Xenopus tropicalis: one gene and its partners. The protein of the gene in region 3 interacts with the protein of the main gene of each other region in a biochemical or structural test. Links are inferred from orthologs where the notes say so. Each region holds a gene or a part of one and is shown on either strand. Other genes may lie near its edges.

Evidence for each region. The genes of interacting proteins can lie anywhere in the genome.
Region 1: the proteins of fyb1 (region 3) and fyn form a complex in vitro, tested with the Homo sapiens proteins (2 studies listed by BioGRID and IntAct). The link is inferred for Xenopus tropicalis from reciprocal best matches to the Homo sapiens genes FYB1 and FYN.
Region 2: the proteins of fyb1 (region 3) and skap1 form a complex in vitro, tested with the Homo sapiens proteins (2 studies listed by BioGRID and IntAct, with this or other methods). The link is inferred for Xenopus tropicalis from reciprocal best matches to the Homo sapiens genes FYB1 and SKAP1.

What each region holds. Positions count from the first base shown.
Region 1 is NC_030681.2:76,824,433-76,827,950, forward strand, and holds part of fyn (tyrosine-protein kinase Fyn), read left to right. Parts: intron 1-835; coding exon 836-1,000; intron 1,001-1,339; coding exon of another isoform or gene 1,340-1,495; intron 1,496-3,045; coding exon 3,046-3,225; intron 3,226-3,518. UniProt on the Homo sapiens protein: Non-receptor tyrosine-protein kinase that plays a role in many biological processes including regulation of cell growth and survival, cell adhesion, integrin-mediated signaling, cytoskeletal remodeling, cell motility, immune response and axon guidance.
Region 2 is NC_030686.2:11,938,033-11,941,550, forward strand, and holds part of skap1 (src kinase-associated phosphoprotein 1), read right to left. Parts: intron 766-3,518; coding exon 660-765; intron 1-659. UniProt on the Homo sapiens protein: Positively regulates T-cell receptor signaling by enhancing the MAP kinase pathway. Required for optimal conjugation between T-cells and antigen-presenting cells by promoting the clustering of integrin ITGAL on the surface of T-cells.
Region 3 is NC_030677.2:196,904,989-196,909,249, reverse strand, and holds the start of fyb1 (FYN-binding protein 1), read right to left. Parts: upstream 2,803-4,261; 5' UTR 2,517-2,802; coding exon 2,514-2,516; intron 1-2,513. UniProt on the Homo sapiens protein: Acts as an adapter protein of the FYN and LCP2 signaling cascades in T-cells. May play a role in linking T-cell signaling to remodeling of the actin cytoskeleton. Modulates the expression of IL2. Involved in platelet activation.

The sequences.
Region 1 (3,518 bases), on a different chromosome or scaffold from region 3:
AGTTGTTTAGGACCCCAAGATTTTTGGTGGAAACTCCTGATCAGCTCTCACTTATGTATGAATATAAAATAGAGGAGCAAAGTTCTGACTGCTAAGTTAGTTTTCCTTCAGTAACCAAACTCCATTGGAACAATGTGACTACAGCCATATTTGTTTTTGGAGTAAGGATATAATTGAGTAATTACTAAATTCAGTATTAATTTAGAATTTGCCATTGCTTAAAAAAATACTAGACATAATCTGCACAGTGCTTCCTTAAAAGTGAGTGTATTTCTAGGAATGAGGATGCAATTGGTTTTGTCTCCAGCACCTTCCTCAAAACATGGGTAACATCTTTATTGTTGAGAGGACAAAATACTTGGCTTTGAGAACTTTAAGCATATCTTTCACTCTTTTCTTTCTGCTTAACCCTGCAAGTGCTGTCTGCCACCTTAATAAAATGTCATATTGCTTCTGTTGTTGATATTATAGATCAGCGACATTATTTTAAAATTACAAATCCAAGAATGATTAATAGTCAATAGAGGCACCTTTCTTATTGTGCTAATTCGTGATCCCAACCAACCAGGCAGAACAATTGTCTTATCACAGACAGAAGCAAAAATTCAACAGATCATTCAATTGTATCTGACATATCTCTAATGCAAAACCACTGAGCCTTACAGGATGCTAAAGGGTTCCTCTCCACCCTTTTGTGAAATTGGCTCCGACTTTAAATATGCTCAGTTCTGCTTGTATGTGCTTTATCTTTTCTTTAGTGATGCTTAATCTTGCTTCATGTTTTCGTTTCAATTTTTTCCTGTCTTTTCTGCCTTCTTCTTTCAACTCTCATCAGAGAGAGCTGCAGGTCTTTGTTGCCGCTTGGTAGTACCATGTCATAAAGGAATGCCAAGACTTACAGACCTGTCTGTCAAAACCAAAGATGTTTGGGAAATACCAAGAGAATCACTCCAGTTGATCAAGAGACTGGGGAATGGGCAGTTTGGGGAAGTATGGATGGGTACGCAGTGAATATATTTTTATAAATCTAATAACCTGCTCTTGTGTGGAGCAATATGAGGAAAGATGGAAAGTGGGTGCAAACAAGAAGCAGGAAGTTTGTGATGTAGGTATTAATCCATGAAAACCACAATCCCCTTTCTTTAGCCTCCAGTGTGACCTGTTGAGGACTTTACTATGGCCAGAATATTAGAAGTTTTAAAAATATATAAAAACTGAGTTGTCTACTATAATGTGGCGTTGATAAATACTTTACACCAATCACCTTCCATCTTTCTTATTGCATGCTGTGGTTTGACATAAATGTATTTTGTTTTTTTATTAATTCCTTTTCCTATAGAGAAAGCTGATGGTTTGTGTTTTAATTTAACTCTGATTGCACCGAATTATACTCCACAAACTGTTGGACTGGCTAAGGATGCATGGGAGGTTGCACGGAATACAATATCTTTGGAGCAGAAGCTTGGTCAGGGCTGTTTCGCTGAAGTGTGGTTTGGTAAGGTGGACAATATTTCATGCTTAGGAGAAAACATTCTACTTTTTAAACAATATTATCTCTAAAAAAGTCACTTAGCATCAATGGCAAAGAGAAATTGTGCCAGAGATTATTAATCTCCAGGTTTCCACATAGGCTACAGTAGAGAATTTATGAAATTATTAAGTATAAAACATAGGGGCAGATTTATCAAAATGTGAGTTTAGAGCTTAATACATACAAACTCACCCACATTCTATTAATTCCTATGGGATTTTTAGATACTTATTCATCAATGGGTGAAAGTTAGAACCCACCGTTTGATAAATACATTTCTACAAATCCCATAGGAATGAACTGAACATGGGTGAGTTTTTATGTATTAAGCTCTAAACTCGCATTTTGATAAATCTGCCACATAAGGTGTTTATTATATTGACAATGGTGCATTATTAAATGGTAAGGTTATAGAAAACCATTAGTCCATCAAGTTTGGCATATCTTTTCATATATTTATATAATGGAGAGGTGTCTGTCTATATAACCATCTGTCATTATCTATGACACAAAGTTAGCAGTGAATTTCATTGATTCCAATCTGCTGTCTGGTTATCTAGCTAGCCATGGCAACCCAACAGTAGAACAGAAAACTGTGAATATAAAATAACAAAAATTAAAAATTAAGGCTACTTAAAAGCTGGCTTAGAATAATACTGTGTGCATCATATTAAAAGTTAATTTTAGGGTGAACAGACCCTTTCAGTATGTGTGTTTCATAAATTCCGTTAAATTTAACTGCAGACTGACAAATGGAAGGTGTCACTATAAATAACAGAAATCCATGCCTGAAACTAGGGGTACAGAGAATGTACATACTACATACATACATACATACATATAAGCATATATACACACTTCAGCAGAATTTGTTGGTGGTCAGATCCAAAAAGCTATGGATTCAGTGCATCCCTAAATAAAACCTAGCCACGGTTTCTGTATTCCTCTGTGATTGTGACCTTTACCATTGTGATTGTAGCATGTAATTACAATCCAAAACCAATTATCCTATTAACACTTTATTTCCACACTAACTTTCCTTTCTGAATGTAGTTTTAAATTTGCATTAACATTGGAAATAGGTGAGATTTTAGTGTGAGAATATTGTTTTTTTCTTTTCTTGGTGGGTGGGCTTTTTATTGCATGCAGCTTGCTTTTAAAGTGCATGAGTATTTGTGATTGCATGCCAAGCTCTGTGTGGGAAAGGAGGGGTCCATGCCAATGGTTATGAATTCATACCAGCAGGCCTTTAAAGTGGCAATAAATATCAAATAATTGGAAACACAGCTATCATTAAGTTTATTTTATTTAGTATATGCATCCTGTGGCATTGCTACAAAGGTAACAGGAGCTGCCTGTTAAAGGGCAAATATACCCCCACACAATTTCTTTATAGATTTTGCATAGCACTGGAGAATTGCCACCCTAGAGCCAATGGCATGGGTCCCTTCTTCCGTTCCTTCTAAATGCTAGCTGATGCTAATGTGCATATTCTTGGGTATGTTGTGTTGCAGGTACATGGAATGGAAACACAAAGGTGGCGATAAAGACACTGAAGCCAGGCACCATGTCTCCAGAATCTTTCTTAGAAGAAGCACAGATCATGAAGAAACTGAAGCATGATAAGCTTGTGCAGCTCTATGCTGTAGTGTCTGAGGAGCCCATTTATATTGTCACCGAGTACATGAGCAAAGGTCAGGATTCTAAAAGTCTCTTCTTAGATATAATACTTATTAATTAGTAAATTATGATCATATGATGTCAGACTGACATTACTGAAACACACAGATTGTATTGAACACATAATACCCATGACACCCCAGTTATTTCAACTGAACAAATACTTCCACTAAGCCTGCTTTATCTGTATCTTTAATGTTGTATGGTTAGAGATGACAATTTCTCCAGAGACCCAAATTTAAAGATAAGATGTAGAAGCAAAGTGAAATAACTGCCTCTTTAAAGCCCCCAGGAAGCCCCTGACATG
Region 2 (3,518 bases), on a different chromosome or scaffold from region 3:
ACCATTAGAATAAGTACTAAATTATGTTTTTTGCACACAAATTTTTTTCACACAGCAAATGGTGGCATGCACATATTCTTTTTTTCTAAAGCAAAGCCACAAAAAATAAATAAATCTGAGTTTCAGTTCTTTGTACTTAAAAAGATCATGGAGATCTCTGTTTCAGCATAGAACTTTTTTTTTATAGGAACATTAACAGTAAAAAATGAAAGTGTATCACAGTAATTAAACTATAATGTACTGCTGTCCTGCAGTGGTAAAAGTTGTGTGTTTGCTTCAGGAACACTACTATAGTTTATATAAATAAGCTGCTGTGTAGCCCCGGGGGCAGCCATTCAAATGCATGTAGGGCTAAATGGCACGGGTTACATTGGGTTAAATGGCTTCCCTCGTGGCTACACAGCAGCTTGTTTATATAAACTATAGAGGTGTTCCTGAAGCAAACACATAACTGTTACCAGTGTAGGGCAACAGTATATTATATTTTAATTACTTTAAAACCCTTTCATTTTTGGTGTTACTGTTCTTTTAAATGGAGAGATCTAGTCAGATGGATGAACCCTTTTGCAAGGAACTGTGTAGTCCCTAGAATGTTGGATATAGATAATATCTAAAGCATCTCTAGCATCTATTGGCAGTCGCCCAACAGTAAAGCAGACCTGTTTCGGATTTGCCCGAAGCTGTGCAGGATCTCATCCCTTTGCTCTCTTGCCCTGCCGCTCAGCTTTTCATTCTGCAAGCACTCAGCTAAGTAAGTCTCTGCATCTGAAAGGCAAAAAAAAATAACGTGTTTTGAGTTTTCCCATAGTACCTTTGTCACTTCCTGGCAGCTGCATGACATCTATTGACATCCTGTATTCTGCACAAATGGGTTTGGCTTTTGTACCAAAAAGAACAAAAAAGCAACATGAAAAGTTTAACTAAAATGATGCATCATACAACCTATTTTTTCCCAACTTCTTAGAAATGCCTGTTACTGTATGTGTCTATGCACTATGATCGTGTGAGTGATATAAACATATGTTATAAATAACATTTTAACCCTATGCTGCTAGCTGTTACAGTTTATATATATATATACACATATACAGGTATAGGACCCCTTATCCAGAATGCACGGGACCAAAGGTATCCCGGATAAGGGGTCTTTCCGTAATTTGGATCTCCATACCTTAAGTCTACTAACAAATAAAAAAAACATTGATTAAATACAATAGGATTGTTTTGCATCCAGTAAGGATTATTTATATGTTAGGATAATGTACAAGGCACTGTTTTATTATTACAGAGAAAAAGTAAATCAGTTTTAAAATTCTGAATTATTTGATTAAAATGGAGTCTATGGGAGACGGGCTTTCCATAATTTGGAGCTTTCTGGATAACAGGTTTCCGGATAAGGGATCCCATACCTGTATATATATATATATACACATACATATATATACATATATATACATATATACACATATATATACATACAGTGGAGGAAATAATTATTTGACCCCTCACTGATTTTGTAAGTTTGTCCAATGACAAAGAAATGAAAAGTCTCAGAACAGTATAATTTCAATGGTAGGTTTATTTTAACAGTGGCAGATAGCACATCAAAAGGAAAATCGAAAAAATAACTTTAAATAAAAGATAGCAACTGATTTGCATTTCATTGAGTGAAATAAGTTTTTGAACCCTCTAACAAAAAAAGACTTAATACTTAGTGGAAAAACCCTTGTTTGCAAGCACAGAGGCCAAACGTTTCTTGTAATTGATGACCAAGTTTGCGCACATTTTAGGAGGAATGTTGGTCCCACTCCTCTTTGCAGATCATCTGTAAATCCCTAAGGTTTCGAGGCTGTCTCTGTGCAACTCTGAGCTTGAGCTCCCTCCATAGGTTTTCTATTGGATTAAGGTCCGGAGACTGACTAGGCCACTCCATGACCTTAATGTGCTTCTTCTTGAGCCACTCCTTTGTTGCCTTTGCTGTATGTTTTGGGTCATTGTCGTGCTGGAACACCCATCCACGACCCATTTTCAGTTTCCTGGCAGAGGGAAGGAGGTTGTCGTTCAGGATTTCACGATACATGGCTCCGTCCATTTTCCCGTTAATGCGAAAATGAGAAAAACACCCCCAAAGCAAAATGTTTCCACCCCCATGCTTGACGGTGGGGACGGTGTTTTGGGGGTCATAGGCAGCATTTTTCTTCCTCCAAACACAGCGAGTTGAGTTAATGCCAAAGAGCTCTATTTTGGTCTCATCAGACCACAGCACCTTCTCCCAGTCACTCACAGAATCATTCAGGTGTTCATTGGCAAACTTCAGACGGGCCTGCACATGTGCCTTCTTGAGCAGGGGGACCTTGCGAGCCCTGCAGGATTTTAATCCATTGCGGTGTAATGTGTTTCCAATGGTTTTCTTGGTGACTGTGGTCCCTGCTAATTTGAGGTCATTAACTAACTCCTCCCGTGTAGTTCTAGGATGCTTTTTCACCTTTCCCAGAATCATTGACACCCCACGAGGTGAGATCTTGCGTGGAGCCCCAGAGTGAGGTCGATTGATGGTCATTTTGTGCTCCTTCCATTTTCGAACAATCGCACCAACAGTTGTCACCTTCTCTCCCAGCTTCTTGCTAATGGTTTTGTAGCCCATTCCAGCCTTGTGCAGGTCTACAATTTTGTCTCTGACATCCTTGGACAGCTCTTTGGTCTTTCCCATGTTGGAGAGTTTGGAGTCTGCTTGATTGATTGATTCTGTGGACAGGTGTCTTTTATACAGGTGACTAGTTAAGACAGGTGTCCTTAATGAGGTTGACTAATTGAGTAGAAGTGTCTAACCACTCTGTGGGAGCCAGAACTCTTAATGGTTGGTAGGGGTTCAAAAACTTATTTCACTCAATGAAATGCAAATCAGTTGCTATCTTTTATTTAAAGTTATTTTTTCGATTTTCCTTTTGATGTGCTATCTGCCACTGTTAAAATAAACCTACCATTGAAATTATCCTGTTCTGAGACTTTTCATTTCTTTGTCATTGGACAAACTTACAAAATCAGTGAGGGGTCAAATAATTATTTCCTCCACTGTATATACACATATATATACATATATACATACACACTACTGTTCCGGGAGTCATATTCAGCAGTGCAGAAAATATAAGCAGCCAGACAGGTGTTGCTTTCAACAACAATTTATAATAACTTGAGAATCAATAAAAATCTTTAATGAATATATACTGGAAAGCAGCTTAGAATTATATTTTCTTTCATTATGCAATTGGCCATTTGGGTGGCAGACCGCTTTAACTCATTCATTGCCATGTAGTTGAACACACAAAAATCCACACGTAATTTTCAGTGGATTTATGGTTATTTGTACATATAAATTCTAGCATTTTACTTCTGTTTGCCATGCAGAAGATGGCACAAAAATCCACAGCAGGGAAACATAGATGAAAACGCCATGTGTGACCGTTTCCCTGCAAACTGGCGGCTGCATCACTCTAGGGCCAACACAGACTTCCCAC
Region 3 (4,261 bases):
GAGATGGTGCCTATAGTAGCAGTGGGGGGATAATAGCCTCTGGGAAGGGACTGGGGCTGTGGGATAGCAGGTATAGTAGGGAGAGATGGTGCCTATAGTAGCAGTGGGGGGATAATAACCTCTGGGAAGGGAATGTGGCTGTGGGATAGCAGGGGGATAATAAACTCTGAGAAAACATACAGTAATAACATTAGAAGATGTGTATTGTGGCAGTTAAAATAAGTGGAATAGCACTTTGCCAGTAACACATTAAGTGGACTCTGACATGCAGCTATAAGATAAAGCCATATAAGAATACTAAATCACTTTCATTTTTCTGATAAGCATATAGCTCATGGAAACCTGTCTCCCAAAAGAATGCAGATTACATATGTATCATACAGCTTACAGTTTAAGCAGAAGTTTCTGTCCCTAAATACATTTCCATCCGGGGCTGGATATATATCTGGCGCAATAACACGAGGGCACTCATGTAAACAACCCATTAATTTTCTTTTATTTAAAGAATACAGTGTACAGAGGGCAAATGTATATGTTGTTGGGTCAATGACTAGTGGGCTCTTTCACAATTTCAGCACAATGCCCCCCCCCCCCCCCCTATACTGACTGTGTCTGACCCTGGTTACACCCACTGACATTTATAGATTGAACACGGGACAAGAAGCCAACCTTATACCAAAAAATGGTTTATCAACCAATGACATCTTCAAATGTGTTCCATCTTTAAACCAATATGCACAGAGTTGGATATCGGCTGGAAGTGATGAACCCCTTTACATGTACCAATAATTGTATGAAAGAACTCCTGTGTATGGCCGGCTTTAGCCAAAATCTGTTGGCTGCAAACTATATGGCAATGAATTATATATCTAGTTTATATGCATTTACCTATTGCATTCTACATGCATGTGAGAAAAAACATATCAATATAATATATTAAAGATTTTGATCCTGACAGAAGATTTATTATTATTTAAAAATAACTACAGGTATGAGATCTTTTATCCTGAAACACGTTATCCACAAAGCTCTGAATTAGAGGAAGGCCGTCTCCCATAGAGTCCATTTAATCAAACTATTCAAATTTTTAAAATTGATTCCCTTTTTCTCTGTAATAATAAAACAGTACCTGTACTTGATCCCAACTAAGATATAATTACCCCTTATTGGGGGCAGAACAGCCCTATTGGGTTTATTTCATGGTTAAATGATTCCCTTTTCTCTGTAATAATAAAACAGTACCTGTACTTGATCCCAACTAAGATATAATTACCCCTTATTGGGGGCAGAACAGCCCTATTGGGTTTATTTAATGGTTAAATGATTCCCTTTTCTCTGTAATAATAAAACAGTACCTGTACTTGATCCCAACTAAGATATAATTACCCCTTATTGGGGGCAGAACAGCCCTATTGGGTTTATTTAATGGTTAAATGATTCCCTTTTCTCTGTAATAATAAAACAGTACCTGTACTTGATCCCAACTAAGATATAATTACCCCTTATTGGGGGCAGAACAGTCCTATTGGGTTTATTTATTGGTTAAATGATTCCCTTTTCTCTGTAATAATAAAACAGTACCTGTACTTGATCCCAACTAAGATATAATTACCCCTTATTGGGGGCAGAACAGCCCTATTGGGTTTATTTCATGGTTAAATGATTCCCTTTTCTCTGTAATAATAAAACAGTACCTGTACTTGATCCCAACTAAGATATAATTACCCCTTATTGGGGGCAGAACAGCCCTATTGGGTTTATTTCATGGTTAAATGATTCCCTTTTCTCTGTAATAATAAAACAGTACCTGTACTTGATCCCAACTAAGATATAATTACCCCTTATTGGGGGCAGAACAGCCCTATTGGGTTTATTTAATGGTTAAATTATTCCCTTTTCTCTGTAATAATAAAACAGTACCTGTACCTGATCCCATCTATACTGAATGCCAAAAATCCTATTGGGTTTATTTAATGTTAAAATGATATTTTACTAGACTAAAGATATGGAGATCCAAAGTACGGAAAGACCCCAAGCATTCTGGATAAAGGGTCCCATACCTGTACTACTACTAATATTTTATATGATTTGTCTTTCTGTTCACACCCGCTGACCTGCTAAGCATATACAGTCTCTCATTCAAACCACCGCCTGGTTGCTAAGAGGAATCCTAGGTACCATATAATGTTTCTGTTCCAAATGACTAAATGTCAATCTAAAGTCCCCATCATTTAGGACACAACAGCCCCAATAAATCAGACAAACCCTTTCATCTCACAGAATCCTACTAGGAGTTATCAGTCTGACAATCTGACAATAAAAGGCATGAATAGCTGCACTTGGGAAGAAATAATTCAGTGGGGAAACTGTGCAGCTCTAGGTGCCAGTCCCTGCCCGCTCTGCGCTATGCTGTACAGTTTCCCTAGAAGCACAACATTCAGCAGAAATATAACCCCACTGGCAGCTTTGTAGCAATTTTAGGGCTAAAAAAAGAAAATTGTGCAAGAACTCACCATTTTTTAACGCCAACACCGATGTTGCATGTAGCAAAGTGCAGAGTCACAGGGCTTAATTATTATCCTTTGCATGAAGCGACTTCCCCTTTTGTGTAGATTATAGAATGTTATCATACAGCTCATATCACTCCTCATATCCACTTACACAGAAACAAGCACAGGGATATACTTTCTTTCCCCATCAGATTTATGAGCCGCACCGACATCTCAACGTGACCCATAGAAGTGCCCAGTCCCAGCCACCTACTGACACTGATTCTTCTCTCATTTCTTCTGCTTTCGAAAGTGTTTCTTCCTCTAAAAGAAAAATGTAAAAAACCCAGCTCCCCGGCTGTGAACTAATACTCCCAGCATTCTCAGTAACATCATTCAGTTGGACTTTACCGCTCCTGGAGAAGAGAGAATCTGGATAATAGACTTCATGATACATCTGAGGCCTTACTTCTCTCTCCACTAAGTGAATTAAATGTTCCATTTCTTCATAGGAAACCATTACAACAATAAAAGGAAGTAAATGCTGACATATATTTTACATTGTGCACAGTAACCCCCTTTTATAACATATTTTAACTTTTTTAGTTATTATTCCAGCAACAGTTGAACTGGAACTCCGGCCTCCAAACCAAAATTTGTTAAAAAGCCTCATACAACACAGAAACCCCTAATATCCCTATTACTGTAACCTATTCCTTCAGAAAGTATGAATAAATAAAATTTTTATATGCTGAAATCGAGCTGCAAAACAGTTCTTTTCTTTCTGCATCATCTCAAATCCTGGCAGGGGAGGAGGGACTAAAGCATTGAAGTTACAAATTGTAACAACTCCTCCACAGCTTACAGACAGCATGCAGGAACTACACAACCCACAATGCATTGCACTGAGATGTTCCTTTCCTTATTGACATCACGTGCAGGGAATTGTGGGATTGGGAGGATGCAGGCTGAAGGCAGGCTGAGGACAGGCGACTACTGTTGCATTTTATTTGAGTCTCAAAGTAGTCAGCCAGATCAGCAGGGCAACAGGGGGTGGGGCTTAGGGAACTGTTCCAAACCATATTTATACATTAACAACCATGTCTGCGTATTTTTTAATGTATGTATATTGCAAAGGCTGCTTGAAATTAAGTTTAGTTTGCAAAAAGCTGTGTTTGGGTTGAGTTTGCCTTTAATATAGGTTATATGCCCCCCATCCATCCTCTGCCCAGTGGGTAGCTTAGATACCTTTACATACAGGGTTCAACTGTCAGGAGACTGTATGCCTTGTCCCTTGATAGAACATGCATGGTGATCTTCTTTGGGAATGACAACAAAGAAAATGGAGCAACAAGGTGAAGGGGAGGTCCATAAAGTATAGGAGAACTGATAAGGAGATTGGAACGGGCATCAAGAGACACTGTGCAGTTTCCTGCATTAAATAGCATTGCCCATACAAGCCGAATGGCCTTTAGCACCACAACACAGACATAGGCAATATATCTGCCTACAGTTTCATCATTGTTAGTTATATGGATTCTGTAAAGGCTCACATTTTGATTGACACAGATGAGGCCCATATGCTTTCTTCTCCCAGTTCCCAGGACAAAAGGCCGAGGTAAATGAGCAACAGATCAGTTTCTTGGATGTGTTGGTAGAGGTGCAATCACCAGTGCATGAGTGTGTCAGACAATAGTTGCTGGAAATGAAGCAGTTGTTTATTTGCAAACAGTGGCATTTATCAGAGGGGGTTTACCAAAGCAAGTTGTCTG